3 linked regions of the Mus musculus genome follow. The protein of the gene in region 2 purifies or fractionates together with the protein of the main gene of each other region. This does not show direct contact. Links are inferred from orthologs where the notes say so. Each region holds a gene or a part of one and is shown on either strand. Other genes may lie near its edges. The genes, in order: Ubtf, Sirt7 and Mybbp1a.

Evidence for each region.
Region 1: the proteins of Sirt7 (region 2) and Ubtf purify together in Homo sapiens (affinity purification with western blotting; 3 studies listed by BioGRID, with this or other methods). This does not show direct contact. The link is inferred for Mus musculus from reciprocal best matches to the Homo sapiens genes SIRT7 and UBTF.
Region 3: the proteins of Sirt7 (region 2) and Mybbp1a purify together in Homo sapiens (affinity purification with western blotting; 3 studies listed by BioGRID, with this or other methods). This does not show direct contact. The link is inferred for Mus musculus from reciprocal best matches to the Homo sapiens genes SIRT7 and MYBBP1A.

Annotation. Positions count from the first base shown.
Region 1 is NC_000077.6:102,304,708-102,310,395, reverse strand, and holds part of Ubtf (nucleolar transcription factor 1), read left to right. Parts: intron 1-63; coding exon 64-205; intron 206-486; coding exon 487-528; intron 529-628; coding exon 629-742; intron 743-843; coding exon 844-999; intron 1,000-1,346; coding exon 1,347-1,502; intron 1,503-1,586; coding exon 1,587-1,697; intron 1,698-2,078; coding exon 2,079-2,167; intron 2,168-2,257; coding exon 2,258-2,447; intron 2,448-3,104; coding exon 3,105-3,152; intron 3,153-3,245; coding exon 3,246-3,317; intron 3,318-3,396; coding exon 3,397-3,540; intron 3,541-3,629; coding exon 3,630-3,755; coding exon of another isoform or gene 3,756-3,834; 3' UTR 3,835-5,688. UniProt on the Homo sapiens protein: Recognizes the ribosomal RNA gene promoter and activates transcription mediated by RNA polymerase I (Pol I) through cooperative interactions with the transcription factor SL1/TIF-IB complex.
Region 2 is NC_000077.6:120,616,616-120,623,929, forward strand, and holds the end of Sirt7 (NAD-dependent protein deacetylase sirtuin-7), read right to left. Parts: intron 5,597-7,314; coding exon 5,526-5,596; intron 5,439-5,525; coding exon 5,366-5,438; intron 4,441-5,365; coding exon 4,342-4,440; intron 4,269-4,341; coding exon 4,032-4,268; intron 3,890-4,031; coding exon 3,809-3,889; intron 3,655-3,808; coding exon 3,548-3,654; intron 3,154-3,547; exon of another isoform or gene 2,676-3,153; coding exon of another isoform or gene 2,534-2,675; intron 2,435-2,533; coding exon 2,233-2,434; 3' UTR 1,756-2,232; downstream 1-1,755. Other genes in the region: Pcyt2 (ethanolamine-phosphate cytidylyltransferase), read right to left, coding at 1,149-1,237. UniProt on the Homo sapiens protein: NAD-dependent protein-lysine deacylase that can act both as a deacetylase or deacylase (desuccinylase, depropionylase, deglutarylase and dedecanoylase), depending on the context. Specifically mediates deacetylation of histone H3 at 'Lys-18' (H3K18Ac).
Region 3 is NC_000077.6:72,437,998-72,445,307, forward strand, and holds the start of Mybbp1a (myb-binding protein 1A), read left to right. Parts: upstream 1-3,329; 5' UTR 3,330-3,386; coding exon 3,387-3,578; intron 3,579-3,680; coding exon 3,681-3,776; intron 3,777-4,402; coding exon 4,403-4,486; intron 4,487-4,572; coding exon 4,573-4,647; intron 4,648-4,748; coding exon 4,749-4,856; intron 4,857-5,478; coding exon 5,479-5,654; intron 5,655-5,743; coding exon 5,744-5,911; intron 5,912-6,005; coding exon 6,006-6,123; intron 6,124-6,684; coding exon 6,685-6,980; intron 6,981-7,178; coding exon 7,179-7,289; intron 7,290-7,310. Other genes in the region: Ggt6 (glutathione hydrolase 6), read left to right, coding at 1-172. UniProt on the Homo sapiens protein: May activate or repress transcription via interactions with sequence specific DNA-binding proteins. Repression may be mediated at least in part by histone deacetylase activity (HDAC activity).

The sequences.
Region 1 (5,688 bases), about 18 Mb from region 2:
TTCGTGAAGAACTTGAACCCAGTCCCGTTTGCTCATGGGTGTGCCTTCCTCCGGATTCAATAGGAACAGCTACTCCCTGTACTGTGCGGAGCTCATGGCCAACATGAAGGATGTGCCCAGCACAGAGCGCATGGTGCTATGCAGCCAGCAATGGAAGCTGCTCTCTCAGAAGGAGAAGGATGCCTATCACAAGAAATGTGACCAGGTGCGCAGGGCAGGTGCCAGGCCACCCCGAGCTCGGGGTCTTGACTTGGGGTTTAGCGCATGAGCTTTGCCTGGGCTCAGTAACTCACTGATTACAGGTGCCTCAGCCACCTGCCTTCAGCCTGGGCCGGGTTTAGCCTCCCCTGTCTGTCAGGCCTCTTGGCTGCCATCTTCAGGGGGTGAGAAGGTTACATACACCCAGTCCCTAGGGGCCTGCTGAGGCTGGCTGGCCCAGGAGAATGGAGGCTGACCCCAACTCACTGAATCCCCTTACTTTCCTAGAAAAAGAAAGATTATGAGGTAGAGCTGCTGCGGTTCCTTGAGGTAAGTAGGCACCACCTTGAGGTGGGCAGAGGGCGCATTCTGGAGTCCGAGGAGCCGGCCTACCTGCCTGCTGCAGCCCCATACCCTTCTTCCTACCTAGAGCTTGCCGGAGGAAGAGCAGCAGCGGGTTCTGGGGGAGGAGAAGATGCTGAACATCAATAAGAAGCAAACCACCAGTCCGGCCTCCAAGAAGCCTTCACAGGAAGGTGGCAAGGTGAGTGTCCCATGCCCGTGGGGGTGGGGGCCAGGATGGAGCCGCTCACAGGAGGAGGCTAGTGGCAATTGTACCTCCGATACTCCCCGTACTTCCCTTAGGGTGGCTCCGAGAAGCCCAAGCGGCCTGTGTCTGCTATGTTCATCTTCTCTGAGGAGAAGCGAAGGCAGCTACAGGAGGAACGACCTGAGCTCTCCGAAAGCGAACTGACCCGCCTTCTGGCCCGCATGTGGAACGACTTGTCCGAGAAGAAGAAGGTCGGGCCTTGGAGAGACCCCCTACTACTCTTCCCTAAGGGTCTCCTGGGCCACTTCCATGCGCGCGGTTACAGCCGCTCCCCGGCACCAGAAGTGAATCACACGTGTACCGTGTACCCGGGCTCAATTGCTGGGGCGGGAGCCGGAAGAAGGGAAGCTTTCAGCTTCCTTGTTGGCTCCCTTGGAGAGCGGCCCCATGGGTGGGGCGGAGCTTGGTGGACGTCACTGCTGCCCACGGCTTCTGCCGGACCCGCCCTCCTCAACAGGGAGCCGGCAACGAATGCTGGGTGGGCTTAGCGCGCCCCCTAGGGGTGGCCCGAATGTTAACATCCTTGCTTTTTCTATAGGCTAAATACAAGGCCCGGGAGGCTGCGCTGAAGGCGCAGTCTGAGAGGAAGCCGGGCGGGGAGCGTGAAGATAGGGGCAAGCTGCCGGAGTCGCCCAAGAGGGCTGAGGAGATCTGGCAGCAGAGTGTCATCGGAGACTATCTGGCCCGCTTCAAGGTAGCGGAGAGTGGGGAAGGATCGGTTTATGGTCTCTAGCAACAGACCCCCTCCCATAACTGATATCCTGGGTTTGTACCTTAGAATGACCGGGTGAAAGCCTTGAAAGCCATGGAGATGACTTGGAACAACATGGAGAAGAAGGAGAAGCTGATGTGGATTAAGAAGGCAGCAGAAGACCAAAAACGATATGAGGTGGGAAGGGGTTGGGCCACCTGCCTCCATGATGGGCCAGGAGGGCCAGCTTTGTTTAAGACCCTGAGCCAGTCTCTTAACTTCCGGCCTGGCATAGGCTAGGTGGGCGTCAAGGTACTAGCCTCTTGGGTGATTTTGGCGGGGGGGGGGGGGGGGGGCGGGACGGGACTACTTCCATTTCAGGGAACATTTTTGAAACGACCCTCTTGGTGCAGTGACTTGTCCAGCAGTTGTTTTGAGAAGAGTCCTGCTATGGATCCCAGCTAGCTACCACTACCAGCTCTAGCTCCTCCTGCCTTAATCTCTGCCGAGTTGAGATCTCCCCCGCCAGTGGGGTGGGGAGTGCGGGTGTGGGTGTGACCTCTCCGTCTCTCTCCACAGAGAGAGTTAAGTGAGATGCGGGCCCCTCCAGCTGCTACAAACTCTTCCAAGAAGATGAAGTTCCAGGGAGAACCCAAGAAACCTCCTATGTAAGCCTGAGGCTGGGACCTATGGTGTAGACAGGGCTTAGAAGGCGGCTCCCTTAGGACCCTGACTGTCCCTGTCACCCCACGCTGCAGGAACGGTTACCAGAAGTTCTCCCAGGAGCTGCTGTCCAATGGGGAGCTAAATCACCTGCCGCTGAAGGAGCGCATGGTGGAGATTGGCAGCCGCTGGCAGCGCATCTCCCAGAGCCAGAAGGAGCACTATAAGAAGCTGGCGGAGGAGCAACAGAGGCAGTACAAGGTGCACTTGGACCTCTGGGTCAAGGTGAGAGAGAGGACAAAGGCACCTTGGAAGGGAGTGCCTGCAGGGACTGGGAAGTCCTGCGGGGCAGTGGGTACTGACATTTTTTAAAGCTAAGCAAGCCAAGGTATCAAGTCATTTGCCAAGGTTACATAGTAGACAGTTTGTGTAGACTGGGTGCTCTTCGTTCAAGCAAGGACCAGGAGACTTGTAGGGCCTGGCTAGGCTGGCAGTCTCCACTGCTGTGCTTGAATGGTCACATTTGTCCAGGGAGAATTACCTGTCACTCAGATAGGCTAACCAAAGACCCAGAGGGATGGCAGGAATTCAGTGTTCAAGAATTTTGTCAGTCTTCGTCGTCATTTCAAAGACTGGGGTCCAGGTGGGGTTGACCTCGTGAGTCATTGGGGGGGGGCATGCTTTGCAGTTAAAGAAGCCCTAGGTACAGGGCTACCATTTGGAAACGGCAGTTGGGGGTAGGGCATTGCTATGAAAACTGACTTGGTTCAGTGTTCAGAATCAGGAGTTATGTTCTGAGCCCCTAAAAGCTTTCTGCAGGGACCCAAAGTTTAGGAGACTGAGTGTAAAGATAAGGTATGTGGGAGCTCTGCCCAGTGGACGTCGGCGTATGCAGCCAGCTGTAGGATGGGGTTGATCTTATTCCCAGTTCTTTCTCCCCAGAGCCTGTCTCCCCAGGACCGCGCAGCATACAAAGAATACATCTCCAATGTAAGCAGGAGCACAAGGCAGTGGAGGGGGAGGCTGGAGGGACTCTGCAGGGGCTGGGACTCACTTCAGCCCCCTTCCCATCCTTTCTGTCAGAAACGTAAGAACATGACCAAGCTCCGAGGCCCAAACCCCAAGTCTAGCCGGACCACCCTGCAGTCCAAGTCGGTAAGGCACCCCTGCAAGGTGGGTGGGTGGCTGGCAAGGTGGGTGTATCTGGCTGCTGATGCGTCTCCACACCTCCCAGGAGTCCGAGGAGGATGACGATGAGGAGGAGGAGGACGACGAGGAGGAGGAGGAAGAGGAAGATGATGAGAACGGTGACTCTTCTGAGGATGGCGGGGACTCTTCTGAGTCCAGCAGTGAAGATGAAAGCGAGGATGGGGATGAGGTGGGCAGGAGGCGTGGTGGGAGGGAGGGTTGTTGTAGATCACCAGGAGGGCCACACACACGGTGACGGTGGGGTCTTTATTCTCCCAGAATGATGATGACGACGACGATGAAGATGACGAAGATGACGACGATGAGGATGAAGACAACGAGTCTGAGGGCAGTAGCTCCAGCTCTTCATCCTCAGGGGACTCTTCGGATTCTGACTCCAACTGAGGCTCAGCCTCCACCCCAGGCAGGCAGGCAGGCAGGCAGCCAAGGAGAGAGCCCCTGCAGAGCTCATCTCCCCAACTGACAACCTTTGACAACCTTTGTCTCTCCCTGTGTTCTGTCCCGTACCCTCCAGACTTCCCCACTTTCTTTCTTTCTTTCTTTTTTGTTTTTTAAATCAGTGGGGGGTAGGAGGCTGCATGAGCCCAAGCTAGGACTCTGCAGCCTTGGAGCCTCAGCTCCAGGGTTCTCCAGGGACAGCAACCATCAGACTGAGCCAGCGCTGGACGGGCCCACCCTGCCCCTCTTCTGCATTTGCAGTTCCGGCATGGACAATGGACTGGGGAGTTTGGGGGTGGGAGAGAGTCTTAAAGAGTTTGGTGAGACCTCCACACCTGCAGCCTGCAGCAAGGTGGATGTTCGGGGGGCCTTTCCTTCCCAGATGGGCTTGCTACCTGGACCCCCCACATTGAACTGGAGGGAGACAAGGGTGCTGCCTTCAAGAAAGCAGGCAGTGGCCCTGTCCCTCTTCCCTGCCCCTGCAGGAAGGAGCTGCCTGGACCCGTTCGTGGGGGAGGGGCAGAGTGTTTTTTTATATATGTGTGTATATATTTTTTTTTTAAGCTCTGAGCTGTCAACGAGACGTTTCCTACCGATCTCGGCTGCCGTCTCTGTTGTCATTTCTGGGACTGGGAGGGCCTGGGATGGGGTGGATTGAGACTTAAAAAAAAAAAAAAGGTCTAGGTATGCATAGAATGTGTGTGAGGCTGTGTGTGTGTGTGTGTGTGTGTGTGTGTGTGTGTGTGTGAGGCTGTGTGTGTGATGTGCACACACGTGAGCGAGCGATACAGCATGACTGCGCCTGTGGATAGGAGAGAGAGAGAAGAGTGTGTGTGTGTGTGTGTGTGTGTGTGTGTGTGTGTGTGTGTGTGTGTCTAGAGCCTGTCTCTTTGAATCTGGAAAAAGGGTCGGTAGAGGCCTGGGAGATGGTGTCCCTAGCAGGAACAAACCAAGGCTGCCCCTCCCTGCCATCTTCCATTGTGGGGTTCAGGGACACCACCTGATGCTTCCTATACTAGTTTGCCCCTGCCAAGGCCATGTCCCTGAGCTGCTGCAGGTCTGTGCTGTCCAGCAGGAAAGTGGGAGGGGCAAACCATGGCATGAGCCTTAAAGCTTTTCTCTGGTGCCCTGGGCTTCAGGAAGTTCTTCCTGCCTTGCCCCGTGTCCTCTGGCCATCCCCATTTCCTTTGAGTTCTCAGGTCTGCTCCCTCTTTCCTGCCGCCACCCCTGTATGCAGAAGATGCTCTCTGCAACTGCTCCTCTAACTGCTTGCCAGCAGTTTGGGACCTTCTGAAGAGGGTCAGTCCCTTGACGGTGAAATCCTAGTCACCTTTACCTGTGGTGATTATCAGTTTTACTATGTTGGCCAGAATTTTTGTTCGTGCTATTGGGTTTTGCTTCTTAAATGAAAGCCAGAGGTGGGAAGTAGGCTCTCCACAGAAAGTAGGCTGCAGCCCAGCTGCCAGTCCCTCTTGAAAGCAAAGACATTTGCCTGGACTGTGTGATGGAGATTCCTAAAGAGAAGATTCCCTCCCACCCCACCCCCTGCCCTCAGCGCGCGCGCACGCACACACACACACACACACACACACACACACTGTCCTTATTCTAAAATTTAGTACCAGGGTTTTAAGTTCCTGAGAGGGCTTGCAGAGAACTCCATCTCCTTGTTTGAACACCCTGGACTGTTACACTTGAGTGAAATGCGTTTTCACTTAGAAACAACTTTGAACAGGACATGTGTTCCTCCCACTGCAAGTATTGGAAAATTCTTAGAGGTAGGGCTGTGGGGGTGGGACATGTTGGTGCTGTCAGAGGTTGCCCAGGATATATTTCAGCACTGGGACCCTTCTCCTTTTTTCTAATATTTAAGGAGTCT
Region 2 (7,314 bases):
TAGCTACACTCCCAGCCCGCAAGATACAAGAGATTATCTAGGATTTGAATATGGAACCTCCTGCACCCTAAACAAGAATAGTCCCCCTGGATCAACAAGCCACACTCAAGCTTGGAAACAAGAGATCAGTCCTGCATTGGGAGCAGATACTTCCACCCTGACACAAGTGGACAGTTCCCCACCCCCAGGGCTGGCTTAGCTCTCTGAGAGAACAAGTGCCTGTCACCTGCTTTTATCCTCAAATCTAGGTCTGGCCACAAGTACTTTGTCAAGGTCAAGCTATGCAGAAGCCAGCAATATGCTGGACACTGAGGATATCCCAGTGGGATATCCCTGGGACCACCTGTATTCTTTGCCATGGGCCAGTGCTGGGCCATAGGTTCTGCTCTGCTTCCTCTAGAGCCCTAGTGGGCTATCATCATGTCAACACCACAGTGCACGGGGTGGGAGGTGGGACATGATAACGGGCAAATTCCAGGACAGCCCTTGTGCCCACTAGACAGGCAGGGCTAGATCAAAGGTCAGAGTCTGCATCTGGGCTTGTGGCACCATGGTGGGGCCAAGGTCATAGTCCACTGACACGAAGTCAAAGCTGGTGACTCAGGTGCAAAAGAACAGAAGGGGACTGAAGTTGTAATTCAGTGATGGAGCACTTGCCTGTACATATATAGCACACAAGGCTATGGTTCCCATCCTCAGCAACCAACCAAAGACAAACAAGAAACGCACAAAGTCTAGCCTATTCCGCCATGAATGCCCTGAGGAGCCCTGGTGACCATTCCGAATGCCTCTCATCCACCAGGGGTAGGCACGACGAAGGGCTGAAGATGGTAAGTTATAGAAAGGCCAACATCTTATCTCTTCGGCTTGTTGACAGCTCCAGGACTTTCTTGGAGACGTCACGGGCTGATTTGCCAGAGAAGCTCACAGCCTTCCAGCCCAGGTAATTTGGGTAAATGCCCAAGGCGAACAGACAGCCGCATTTCCGGTTTTCGGGGAGCGCACCGTCTGATGCACCCGTGTCTGTACGCTACACTCCTAAGTGACCGGAGGCCAGGTTGCCTCGTGCGGCCTCGGAAGACTCCGGTTCCGCCAACGGCCGGTGCGTGACGCCCAGGTGACCGCCCTCCCCTCGTCGCCCCACTCACCAGCCATCGCACCACACCCGCACGATGCGCTGATCTCCCGGACCCTTCAGCCCAGCAGCGCTGGCAGCCCCGTGCCCGTTCCGGATCATGGCACCGGAGGCCCCCCGCAAATCCTGGCGGCTCCCGCGACACACAGTACCGTCGCCCCGCCCTCGACGCTTGCGCGTGCTCACGCGGATCTCACCCGCTTGGCGCAGCCAATGGCGTGCGCCAACCAGGGCCCCGCCCCCAGCCGGGCCACACCCCCCTCCGCCCAGATCGAGCGGCCAATGGTCTGTGTTGCAGGTGCCCGGGCTTTGGCATTTGACTTCTCCACAGACGAACGGGGCAGGTTAGCACCACAACTGTGCGTGCAGCTCACCCCGTGCCTTAAGCATTCTTAGGAGCCGGGCAGTGGTGGCGACCCCTTTAATCCCAGCACTTGGGAGGCAGAGGCAGGAGGATCTCATGAGTTCCAGGACAGCCAGGGCTACACACGGAAACCCTGTTTCAAAAAAACCAACCAACCAAAAGCATTTTCAGGGGCTGGGTTCTTCAAAAGCGCCTCGATGCAGGCCCTCAGATGCAGGCACCTCGGTGGTGCGTGTGACAGTCATCGGGACACCAAAGCAATTGAGAGATGTTTAATAAGACTTGCTCAGACTGGAGGCTTAGTTAGATTCTCCCTGTGCCGCATACCCAATACAGAAAAAGGCTTCTATAAAGTGAACACTTGTACGTGATAAGGAGTAGAAAGAGGGAGGCCCTGAGACTAGCCTGGAGAGTGAGGTAAGGCAGTGGTGGACTCTCCTGCTGGCCAGGCCTGGGAAGGGCCGGAGCTCTTCTCACAGAGGCCTTGCTGCCACCTTTGTACAGGGGTGAACAGGAGGGAGGTGTCCTTGAAGATCAAGCCCATAGCGGGGCAGTCACAGCAGTGCAAGAGAGCCTTTCCACAAGGACAAATGGCTAAAGACGACCGTCACCGCGAAGCCGGCACCCACTAGAGCCGGAGGGGGCACTCTCGCCTTCACGGCGACACGGGCGGAGCCCCTGAACAAGGGTCAAGCCATCTGCAAAGTGCCAACTGTTCTTTGTCAACTCCGGGCTATGCCACTTTCTTCCTTTTTGCACGCTTGGCACAACCCCTGCCAAACCAGCCTCCTAGGATAGGGGGAGCTGAGGCAAGGGGGTCACTCTGGTCCCCAGGTGGGGCTTCTTCTCTGCTTCTGCATAGTGACTTCCTACTGTGGCTGCCTTCTTCACCAGCACGGAGGGGGGTCGCCAAGGAGAAGATTGGATCCTGCCACCTAACAGAAAGAAAAGCAGCATCAGGCAGGTCTGAAAACCCCTCGAATCGCAACCCTCCCAGGCACAGGAAAGCTGTCTGAGGCCACCTGCCATCCCACCTATGTCTTAATCTGGGCTTTGGCTGGAAGCAGCGTCAGTGACACCAAGCTGCAGGGGACACCAAGCTGCAGGGGAAAGTCTTCAGGGCAGCAGCAGCCCTCGCTCGACAGCCTCTTCTGTCTCACCCACTGTTGGTGGGAGCTGCACACATAGGAAGGGGTAGTGCTAGCCACAGGATGGCCTCACCTCCAAGGATAACTTGCTAGCAACTCTGGGCCCCGTCTCTCACTTGTATGGATAGGGGCAGATGGACCAGACCCTTTTCCCTTTCCCAGACTGCGTGACAGGGATGGGGGCGGGAAGAGGCCGGTTGACTGGGGAGGTGTGGCCTACAGACTACACCATGAAGAAATCATGTGTCTGATTGAAATGTAGAACCACATATTATAAACGTAAGATAAAAGTAAGCACTGATTAAAAAATGAGCTAAGTTAATGTTAAAAAAAAAAAAAACAACAACAACAACCAATAACAACATCAACAATGTGGCACAGGAGAGGCCCACGTCACAGAACACCACAAACATAACATACAAGAATTGCCAGGCCCAGAGGTGAAGGGATCCTTAATTTCTTGAACCCTTTGATTAAAAGAAGTTATTGATTTCCCCTATAAGACCCTGAAAATTCACAGAGAAAGAAAGTGTAAACTTTTCACTCAATATACACACCAAGTCTAAATTATCACAATTCTGTATCAAGGCAATTTGCTTCAGTTTTCCCCAAATATCCCCACACCAAGGACAGAGATTGTGTCTGACCAGAGCTGCAGTTCTCACCCCTCTCGGCTGTCCACCCAGGCTGCACACCATCTGTGGGAGCATCCTGTAGAGCACACTGGCAGATCCCCCTCAGAGATTCTGGGCACCGTACCAGTCAGGGGGGAAGAGTGTGCACGTGTGGTGGAGCCTTGCCTCAGCCAGTCCCTCTGAGGCCCACAGCAGACAGACACGGCCCATCACACGGAGGGGAGGGACGGGGCAGGAATGCAGGGGGCACGCTGCGCCCACTCACCGGTTGTAGACAGGAATCTCCAGGCCCAGTTCATTCATGAGGAGTTGCATGACATCATCACACTTCCCATGGAGTTTCAGGGCAGCCCAGTCATCCTTCGGGGTCCACTAAAGACAAGGAAGGCAGATGAGGGCCTCCCGGCAGACTGGCTCACCACTCCCCAGGAACACAATGGAACCTGTACAAGACTTTCAGGATCTCCCCGGCTCTTCCCATCTGAGCCCCGGGTCTGAGGAGGAAGCTCTAAGCACCCGCTGTTACCTGCAGGTTCACGATGTAGAGTTTGGGTCGACGGCTTGGAGGCTTCGTCATGCACCAGAGGCGGGGATATTTCTTTAGTACCTGTTCCAGCGGGCAGACACAACAGAGTAGAGGAGGATGAGTAAGACGCAAACCTACCACCCGCTCACGGCTGATGGCTCTGGGGAGGCAAGCCAGCAACATGCTCAATCCACAACGAGTTCATGGTATGGTCGGCACATACCTTCAAGCTGGACCCTAAACACAGGATTGTGTCTGCTTTGCTAGCAGCCTCGGTCGCTGCCTCCCAGTTCAGAGGCTGCCCTAATGTCCCCCTCTCCCCAAAGTGCACAATGGTATCCCGAAGCTGGGTCCCGCACTTGTGGCAGGTCCGGCCTGTCAGGTGTCGGTGAAGGGCAGTACGCTCAGTCACATCAAACACTCGTACATACTCTCTGTTAGGGATGCAGGAGGTGCAGACCTGGGACAGAGAGGGCACAGTGAGTGAGATCTGCCTGTCACCCAGGCCCCGGGTCCCCCTCGGTACTGCTCACTTCAATATACATATTCCCATGGAGCTCTGAGATGGCGGTCCGGGGCAACCCACTCCGCAGGTGGAGCCCATCACAGTTCTGAGACACCACGTGTTGCACCTGGAAGACAGAACGTGGTGGCAGTAAGTAAGGTGGCAGGAGGAAGCACCCTGCGGCAGTGGAGTTATTCTAAGCCCAGAGACAAGGGACAAGGTTCCTAAAACAAGGAGGCAACTCAGGAAAGCCCTGAGGTAGAAAGGCGCCATGTTCTTTCTCTTCTACTAACTCTAATGTACTGGGAGCAGCTAGGAGGGCAAGCATCTGTCCTGGTCCTGCAAGCTGAGCAGCAGTTTGGGGCACTGGTCACATAGGGTGGGCAGGACTACACACACCTTGGATCGATAACTTCTTGGGTCATCCATCATCTTTCATGTCCCTTCCCCCAAATCCCAGGCATATCTGCTTCCCCGCTTGCTCAGCGGATCTCTGGAAGTTTCTGTTGAGTCTCCTCTGAAGCTAGGCTGTCGTCTAAAGGCCCTGAATGGAACCTGAATACCACAGCTATTCTTCCTTTTTTTTTTTTTTTTCCGAGACAGGGTTTCTCTGTGTAGTCTTGGCTGCCCTGGAACTCACTTTGTAGACCAGGCTAGCCTCGATCTCAGAAATCCGCCTGCCTCTGCCTCCCGAGTGCTGGGATTAAAGGCGTGCGCCACCACGCCCGGCTACAGCTACTCTTCTTGAAGAGAAAGCAGAGCAGGGAGCACACAGATGTCCGAGCTACTAGACTATTTATCTATCACAGGGCTGACTAGGAGGCAGGATGGCTTCCCACCTGGGCACTGAGGTATAGCTCTGGGTTCTTTCCAGCTTTTTGTTTTTGTTTGTTCTTTTGTTTTGTTTTTCCAAGACAGAATTTCTCTGTGCAGCCATGGCTGTCCTGGAACTCACTCTTGACCAGGCTGTCCATGAACCCAGAGACTCCCCCTGCCTCTGCCTCCCAGGCACTGGGAGTGAAGGTGTGCGCCACCATGGCCGGCTTTCTTACCAGCTTTTGCTCATGCAAACGGGTGATGCTCATGTGGGTGAGGGTAGGCTCCGCTTCGCTTAGGTCGGCAGCACTGTACGGTTGGAGAAAACAGAGGTGAGAGGGCGGCCAGATGACGCAGCTCGCCTCTAATCGTGGGAGAAAGCTGTGACATGCTCACCTCACAGGCCTTCCTTTCTGAAGCAGTGTCCATACTCCATTAGGACCCCGATAATCTGGGATAGAAGCTGCCTGCACATTCGGACAAAAAGAGATACCACAGGTACTGCAGTATTCCCCACAGAGGACATGCCTATAAATCAGTGTCTGTCCCATCCACTGCTGACCTGACTCTCAAGTGGGATGCACCCCAGTATGGCTCTTTCCCTCCATCCAAGTGACTTTCTTGTCCTGCCTGGACCAGCTCACCCTTCCACATACCAAACAGAGAACCCTACTCTACTTCAAGATCCTTTCTAACAGTGAGCAGCTGTGTCCACATCTGTCTTGAACACAGAAGGGGACAACTGGTCAGGCGCATCAGTGTCTGAAGGAACAGATTTTAGAGCGCAGGTCATGCTTAGCAAATAGCCCCGGGAGGAAGCGCTCTGTCCACACACTTAAATCCTGCGGCTCTGAGGTTTTTATTCCAACTTAACATAAAACCTCTACAGACAGATGAGTGTTAAGTCATTTTCCACGAGAGACAAACAACCAACCAACAACAACAATAACAAAAAAGAAAACCATCTAGAAGCCAGGAGTCTTTGGATCCTGGCTGGGGAAGCCCTGTATACATTGTTGCTTAAGAGCAGAGAAGTGCCCGCCCTGGCAGGTAATTCCAATACATCGAGGAACCTCAAACGGTGCTTAGACCGCGTTTAAGAGCTGCAATTGGTCTTTAGTAGCCACCAGGTTTGCAGAGTTACTGCTGTAGAGTCATAACTGGATCATCAGATGGCTATGAAGGGCTGGGCCCCACATGCTGCTGTCCTTGATGTCTGAGATGACGCAGCAAATGCTCCTGACATTGCTCCTGGGCCACTGTCCCCACAATTCCCTGCAGAGCCCTACTCAATGCCACCACAGCAGCAAGGCCACACTAGGGCTTTCCAGTTCTGGCATTTGTGTCTGGCCCTATAGTTGTTTTTGCACCTGTGTGCTTGTGACTGCTGGCTGCTACCTTTGTAACAAAGGTCCTCTTTTGTCTGTGTATGTGTTTGTATTCGTGTTTGCATGTGTGCACATGTGTGTAGAGGTGTGCGTTACACGTGTCAGTGTGTGAAGCTCACGGTCCACCTTAACTATTTTTTTTTTCTTAACACATTTGTTGAAGGGGACGTCGTGCAAGGGTCATGATGCACAAGTAGAAGTCAGAAGACACCTTGTGGCGGTCAGTTCTCTTCTGTTGTGTGAGCTCTGAGGACCGGACTCATGCACCAGGCTTGGTAGCAAGTGCCTAAGTATTCAGTGAGCTTCTCACTGCCTCCCCCACCTTTGTTGTTGTAGTTGTTAGTCTCTCAATGCACCTGCAGCTCGTGGATCTGGCTAGGCTGCTAGCCAGAGGGCTTCAGGGGGGCTTCTGAGCTTATCTTCCCAGTTCTGGGGGTTACAGAGTGTGGTACTGCTCAGCTTCTTCACATGGATTCTGAGAGTCCAAACTCGGGTCTTCACGCTTGCATAGCAGGCACGCTACCCACTGAGCCATCTCTCCAGACCACCTCAGGGCTTCTCAGAATAGAAGCCGAGTTCGCCTGAGGTCAAATATTCAACTTCAAAGCTAGTCATCCCTCAGCCTTCCCAGGAGAGCTCTCAGAGTCAAGAGGACAGCATTTCTCAAATGTACCTATTGTACCAGGACTCTGTCTGGTTTTTTTTTTTTTTTTCCCCGAGCCAGGGTCTTGCATGGAGCTTCGAGCCAGGCTGCTCTCAAGAGTTTGATCTTGATCTTCCTCCTCTACCAGGCCCCA
Region 3 (7,310 bases), about 48 Mb from region 2:
CTTGCTCAATCATCTGGCAACACCCCAAATCCCACAGCAGCCCCAGCATCAAAGACCCACAGAGAGCCCTGGCATATGTGGCCAAGGGGCCCTACTGCAGGCGGTAGTCCATGCAGAACACGCCCATGTCTCCAGTGTCCCCAGTGGCTGCTGCCCCTTTCAGGGGTATTAACAGAGGGGCAGAGGTGTCTGGAACTTGAGAGCCAGACAGAGAAGGTCTAGCAGCAATGAATGTATGAAGAGAATGTATCTGTGAGGTGTTTGCTGCTCCATCACATGAAGCCTCCATCCTAATCTGTTACCTGGCTCTGGCTCTGGCATCCAGGGCTGGTCCAACCACATTTCCTGGTACCCACACTGATGGAATTTCTGACTTTTCTATCAAATAAAGACCAGAAGATGATGAAAAAGAGTCTGAGTGCCACTCACCTTTGGGAAAGCCCAGTGGAAGGTCACCAGCCCTTACTGAGTCTTTGGGCAGGGTGGGCAGCTCCATCTTCCACTGGACCATTCCCTGCTGATCTTTATCAATTGGACTGGAAGCTAATAAAGTTCAAATCTTCCGGGGACAGAGTGACATCTGTGCTCTTTGGCTAACTTTCCTGTTAACCTTTGCAACACAGGTGATGAACGCCAGACACAGGGGGAGGAGCCTGGGTCTGTCTCTTTCGGCTTCCCCTGCTCCAGCCACCTTCTGCTTTCTGGGGTTCCATCTGCACAAGGTAAATCTCTTAGTTTCACGTGTAGAACAGATGGCAGAGCAGAGAAGGGTTGGGAAAATGAGTAGGAGGTTCCCCTGGGTACAGAAGGGCTGGAACTGGGTTGTTCCTGATCTCTGAGATCTCTTGAATACAACCCTTTAGAAATAGTTCCTCAGGCCAAGAGCAAGGACACCCAGTAGCACTTCCCCTACCTGACAAAGAGAAAGGAAATTCTTATTTAAGGGTTTGAGGGTTTAATTTTTTTTTTTAATTAAAATGATACTTTTAGACGGGCAGTGGTGGTACAAGCCTTTAATCCCAGCACTTGGGAGGCAGAGGCAGGTGGATTTCTGAGTTCGAGGCCAGCCTGGTCTACAGAGTGAGTTCCAGGACAGCCAGAGTTACACAGAGAAACCCTGTCTCAAAAAAAAAAAAAAGATGCTTTTATCTTCTGTGTGTGTGTGAACTGCATATATGCACATGTCCCACATGCTTCTTCTGTCTGAGGTCAGAGGAGGGCTTTGGCTCCCCTGTAACTGGGGTTACAGATGTGAGCTGCTATATGGGTGCTGGGAACTGAACCTTGATCCTCTGCAATAGTAGTAAGTGATTTTTTGTTTGTTTGGTTTTGTTTTTTTTCCAGACACGGTTTCTCGGTATAGCCCTGGCTGTCCTGGAACTCACTCTGTAGACCAGGCTGGCCTCAAACTCAGAAATCTGCCTGCCTCTGCCTCCCGAGTGCTGGGATTAAAGGCGTGCACCACCGCGCCCGGTTTAGTAAGTGCTTTTCACTAACACGCCATATCCCTTGTCTCTATAATTTTGTTTTTTAAGGCAGAGTCTCCCTGTGTAATCCAGTCTGGCCCAGGCACTGGGATTACAGGATCACCAACACAGTCAGCTAATTGTTTTGTTTTGTTGGCTTGGGGATCAAATTTAGAGCACTGATGTGCTTGGCTGGTGTTCTATTTCCATACCATATCCCCAAACCCAAGCTAGCAGAGCTCTTAATTGTACCATCTCCACTTCTCTCTCAGACAAAACATTGCTAGGCGCAATGATTCCACCATCTATTCAACGATTTTAGCTTTTAGCCTGGTGTCCTTTCTAGCAAATCATCTCCTTTGGCCCAGGTCATCGCCTACGTTGACATTTGCCATAGGTTAGCCAAGGCCTTACTCCAGCATAATTCACTGCCTCGGTACTCACAGCCACGGGCTGTGGCTGCTCTCAGCTAACAGTTGACCTTTTAAAACTGTAAATCAGATGTAAATCCTCCCTGCACTCTCTGAAGAAATTCTGAACCCTTGAGCCTGGCCCTGGGTTCTATATAACCTTGCTCCTGGCACCTGAGTCCTCCTCCTCACCTTACTGACCTCATTCCCGTAAGAGATGAGTGGCCTCTGTAGAAGAAATGTCCTTGGCCTGCTCTTAGATTTTTGCCCTGGGGACAATAGAGCCCATCTTGTCCCTCAGCTGTCAGCTCACATGTCAGTCTTGTCATGGTCTCTTAAATAGAATCTTAGAATCTATAGAATTTTCCCTTTAATTTTTTTTTTGGTTTTGTTTTTGTGTGTGTGTGTGGTTTTGGGTTTTTTGGTTTTTTTTGTTTTGTTTTGTTTTGGTTTGGTTTGGTTTTTCGAGACAGGGTTTCTCTGTGTAGCCCTGGCTGCCCTGGAACTCACTTTGTAGACCAGGCTGGCCTTGAACTCAGAAATCCACCTGCCTCTGCCTCCCAAGTGCTGGGATCAAAGGTGTGCACCACCATGCCCGGCTTCCCTTTAATTTTTTTTTTTTAAGAAAATGTTGTTTATTTTATTTTATTTTTTTTTTTGTTTTTTGTTTTTTTTTTTTTTTTGGTTTTTCGAGACAGGGTTTCTCTGTATAGTCTTGGCTGTCCTGGAACTCACTTTGTAGACCAGGCTGGCCTCAAACTCAGAAATCCGCCTGTCTCTGCCTCCCAAGTGCTGGGATTAAAGGCGTGTGCCACCACCTCCCGGCTGTTTATTTTTATGAATACACTGTATCTGTCTTCAGACACACCAGAAGAGTGGATTGGATCCCATTACAGATGGTTGTGAGCCACCATGTGGTTGCTGGGAACTGAACTCAGGACCTCTGGAAGAGTAGTCAGAGCTCTTAACCGATGAGCCATCTCTCCAGCCCCTCCCTTTAATTTTTAACAGGCGATGTTTTCACGTTTTTTAACATTTAAAAGGCTCCCTCTGCTCCCTACATTCCTTATTTTCCTCATAACTATCATTTAAAATGTATTTGTCTACTCGTTCATCAACCATCTCTTCCCACTAGAAAGGAAGTCCACAGAAGCCGCGGCTTTGTTCGGATGCACACAATAAAAGCGGAATAATAGCGGATGTCTCGGACTAGATCGCGAGCAGACCCGGGTCTGGGAAGAGATCATACTACGGCTTTTTCGTGGATTTGTTTGCACCTCCGGTCGTCAGGAACTCCTCCAGGTTAAAGGAAGAGATCGAAGCATCAGTTTCTGAGCACACGCGCGTGTGAGAACACTCTGCTCCACCCACAGCCACAAGGGAAAGGCAAGGCCGTACGGAAGCCACTTCCAACCTGCTAGGCCCCGCCCTCACTCGGACGTCCCAGTGCGCAGGCGCCGAGACCTGACCTGGAAGTGACTGTCTTCTGAGCCCACGTGTTTGGCTCAGCATGGCGGAGATGAAGAGCCCCACGAAAGCTGAGCCTGCGACTCCCGCAGAAGCGGCGCAAAGCGACCGCCACAGCCTGCTGGAGCACAGCCGCGAGTTCTTGGACTTCTTCTGGGACATTGCGAAACCGGATCAGGAAACGCGGCTCCGGGCCACGGAGAAGTTGTTGGAGTACTTGCGCACAAGGCCCAATGTATGATGGAGGGGCCCAGGCCCATCGTGGCTCTGGATGCAAGGGGGAGGGGTGGGCCCTTCAGATCACTGTTGAACACGAGGGATGTTCTTGGTTCCGTAGGATTCGGAGATGAAATATGCCCTGAAGCGCCTAATCACTGGGCTTGGGGTGGGCCGAGAAGCCGCTAGGCCCTGCTACAGCCTGGCGCTGGCACAGGTGAGACTGTGTGTCTGGCAAGGGCACGATCTCGCTGGGCAAAGGTGGCGTCTAAGGGTAGGGGGCACCGAAGCTGCGGGGTAAGAAGAAATCCGAGATGCTTCAGAGGGGATACAGGCATCCTTACTTGGGTGGGAGGAAGTGCCAAAACATGGCCTATGTACAGCAAAGTCCAGGCAGGTGGAAGAGTTGAACACGTTTTCTTTCTGATACACGTTTATCAGCTACAGAGTATTAGCTACAGTTACTGGAAGTAGTGAACTTTGAGGTTGATTTCTGCAAGGTTGGGGAGCCGCCTCCAGGTTAGGAAGGCAACTGATGACAGACCACGTAGAAATTTGTACAGCAAAAAGCAATGAAGACTAACCAGCCTCAAGGCAACTCAGAACAGGATCTTTGGATGGGATGGGTTTTCCCAAGAGGTACAGAAGCAGCCTAGGCCTTCTGAAGCCTTGATGGAGGTGGGGCTTAGCCATGTAAGATGTGGTCCCTTGAAAGCAGTAGCGCTTGTGAGGGATGGGAGGAGCACGGAGATTATATTGGGGAAAGCTGAAGGAGGGAAATGGACTTGGTCTGGTTTGTTGTCCCTGGGCCACTCCTGAGCTCTTTCTGGTCTTGCCTGGTAGCTGTTGCAGTCTTTTGAAGACATCCCATTGTGTGACATCCTGGATCAGATACAAGAAAAATACAGCCTACAAGCCATGAACAAGGTGCGTGAGATTCCCAGACAGACAACCTGCTCCTGAACAGCTATGGGGAGGGACCCTCTTCACCTGTGTTTTCAATCTTTTTCTAGGCAATGATGAGACCTAGTCTCTTTGCAAACCTTTTTGGAGTGCTAGCCCTCTTTCAGTCAGGCCGCCTAGTGAAGGTAAGAGCTTTTGGCACGGGGCGCAGGGACTGGTTTAGGGCTGGAGGGGAACAGATGGTAACAGACCCTGCTCTTCACCTTTTGCTCTCTGTGGATACCAGGACAAAGAGGCCCTGATGAAGTCCGTGCAATTGCTGAAGATCCTGTCCCAACACCCCAACCACTTACAGGGACAGCCAATAAAGGCTCTGGTGGACATCCTCTCTGAGGTAGAGAATCACAAGTCATGCCGTCTGATTTGGGAAACGTTGAAAAGATTTGGGTAGGAACATGATGAGGACAGATGGTTTGACCATGCAACTGGTATGAGGAGGTTGTTTGTTTGTTTGTTATTCCTCTCTCACCAACTATCTTAAATCTGCCTTGTCTTTCAGGGTCTCAGCACATGTCCACTCAGTTAGGCAGTTCAGATACTCCATAACCCTCTCTGGTGGCCTTTGTGTGGCTAGTGTGGGTCTGGAACAGTGCTTGTCAATGCCTGAGTATGTAGAAGGCAATCTGAGTACATTTGCCATAGTTGGTTTGGTCAAGCCTGGGTCTGTTTGTATCTAGAGTCATTTGCCACTGTCTTGTCCCTGATTTGTCCTTTTGGCACAAATGGAGACAGACCAGAATTTAAGTTGCAGCTCCCCACATAGGGCTCTGTGTATATGACACCGGCTAGCCCTCTTACAAAACAAAAAGAGGTATAGTTTTGAATATAGACCCCAGGCCAGTTAGTCATCAATACAGTGCTGGGGTCTGCTGCTTGGCAAGTTGACTGACTAGTGGTGTATCCGAAGCCCATGGGTAGAACAAGACCCACCCTTTCCACCTGTGCCCCCACTCCAGGTCCCAGAGTCCATGTTCCAGGAGATCCTGCCAAAGGTCCTCAAGGGTAACATGAAAGTGATCCTCCGCTCTCCCAAGTACTTGGAGCTCTTCCTCCTGGCTAAGCAGAGGGTGCCGACAAAGCTCGAGTCACTCATGGGCTCGGTTGACCTGTTCTCAGAAGACAATATTCCCAGGTTTGAGGAGATTGTGAGTGGGTTCTCACGGGGGTGTCCTGCACTGTAGTCCTCCGGGTAACGTTTACTGAATCTCCTCTGCCTTCTAGTCTGGTGAACATCCTGAAGGTGGCCGCCAACTCTGTCAAGAAGGAGCACAAGCTGCCTAATGTGGCTCTGGACCTGCTCCGCCTGGCGCTCAAGGAGAGCAGATTCGAACTGTTCTGGAAGAAGGTTTTGGAGGAGGGGCTGCTGAAGAATCCGTCCTGGACATCCAGGTGTGTGTGACACTGGTCTTCCCTCTCCTCCAGCCTGGGTGGGACCTGATCAAGTACAGGGCCTCTGACCAGGCTCTGCCCCAACTCTCCTTAGCTACATGTGCTTCCGCCTACTGGGTGCGTCTCTGCCGCTTCTGTCAGAGGAGCAGTTGCAGTTGGTGATGCGAGGAGACTTGATCCGCCATTTTGGGGAGAACATGGTTATTTCTAAGGTAGGTGTCGTCTTCCCATGTGGTTCAGTGCTGCCTGCAGGGCCAGGGCAGGGGTTCTTCCTCTGAAGATCTGGTAGGGGAGGACTTGGCCAGTAATCAGGCCCTTTTGTCCTGGGGCCCACTTACCAGCAGGCCCAGCCAGCCATCTATTTGGAACACTGCTGGGGGGGTCACATTGAGGGGAGTGGTTATTGACCCCAGTGTGTTCTGCATTTTGTGCCTAGCACCTGTAAGACAGTGATGGGGGTGGGGGGCTATACAGAAAGCACTTGGGTTTTGAGCCACAGGATGGCACGGGTAGGTACTGGTCTATCACGACTTGAGCTTAGGTTCCCTTCATGCCAGTCAATCTTGTCCGCAATCTTTGAGGGAGAATTGGAACCTTCTTGTGCTGGGGATGAACTAAGGAATCAAGGATAGACCTTGATGGAGTTGTGGCAAAGTTAGGTTCAGCCCTGCTGTGTGACTGGAGTGGCGAAGTCCTGGGTTTAGTCTCTATAGACAAAGGTGGTTGCCTGCCTCTTCACTCTGATAACCCAAACTCATGCTCATCTCTTGCAGCCCCAAAACCTATTTAAGATCATCCCAGAGATAAGTACATACGTGGGTACCTTCCTAGAGGGGTGCCAGGATGACCCTAAGCGGCAGTTGACTATGATGGTGGCCTTTACAACCATCACCAATCAAGGTCTCCCTGTCATGCCTACCTTCTGGCGTGTCACGCGGTTTTTGAATGCTGAAGCCCTGCAGAGCTATGTGGCCTGGTTGCGGGACATGTTCCTGCAGCCTGACCTGAACTCCTTGGTTGACTTCAGCACTGCCAACCAGAAGAGAGCTCAGGACGCCTCGTTGAATGTGTGAGTGGCACGTGTCAGGAGCTCTGAGGAGCTCAAAGCCTGAGTGCCATGGCTTCAAACTAGAGGCAGGAGAGGAGGAAAGTTAGCCCTTGGTTGTGCCCTTGTTTCTCCTGACAAGAGGTCGGGGCAGGGTGCGGGTGATCCCGGGGCAAAGGGGTACCCTGTTTCTGAGGTCACTTACATGGCCTCTGCTTCCAGGCCTGAGCGAGCTGTATTCCGGCTCCGGAAGTGGATCATCCACCGCCTGGTCAGCCTTGTGGATCATTTGCATCTGGAGAAGGATGAAGCTGTGGTTGAGCAAATAGCCAGGTGTGTGAGGGACACTGTGGG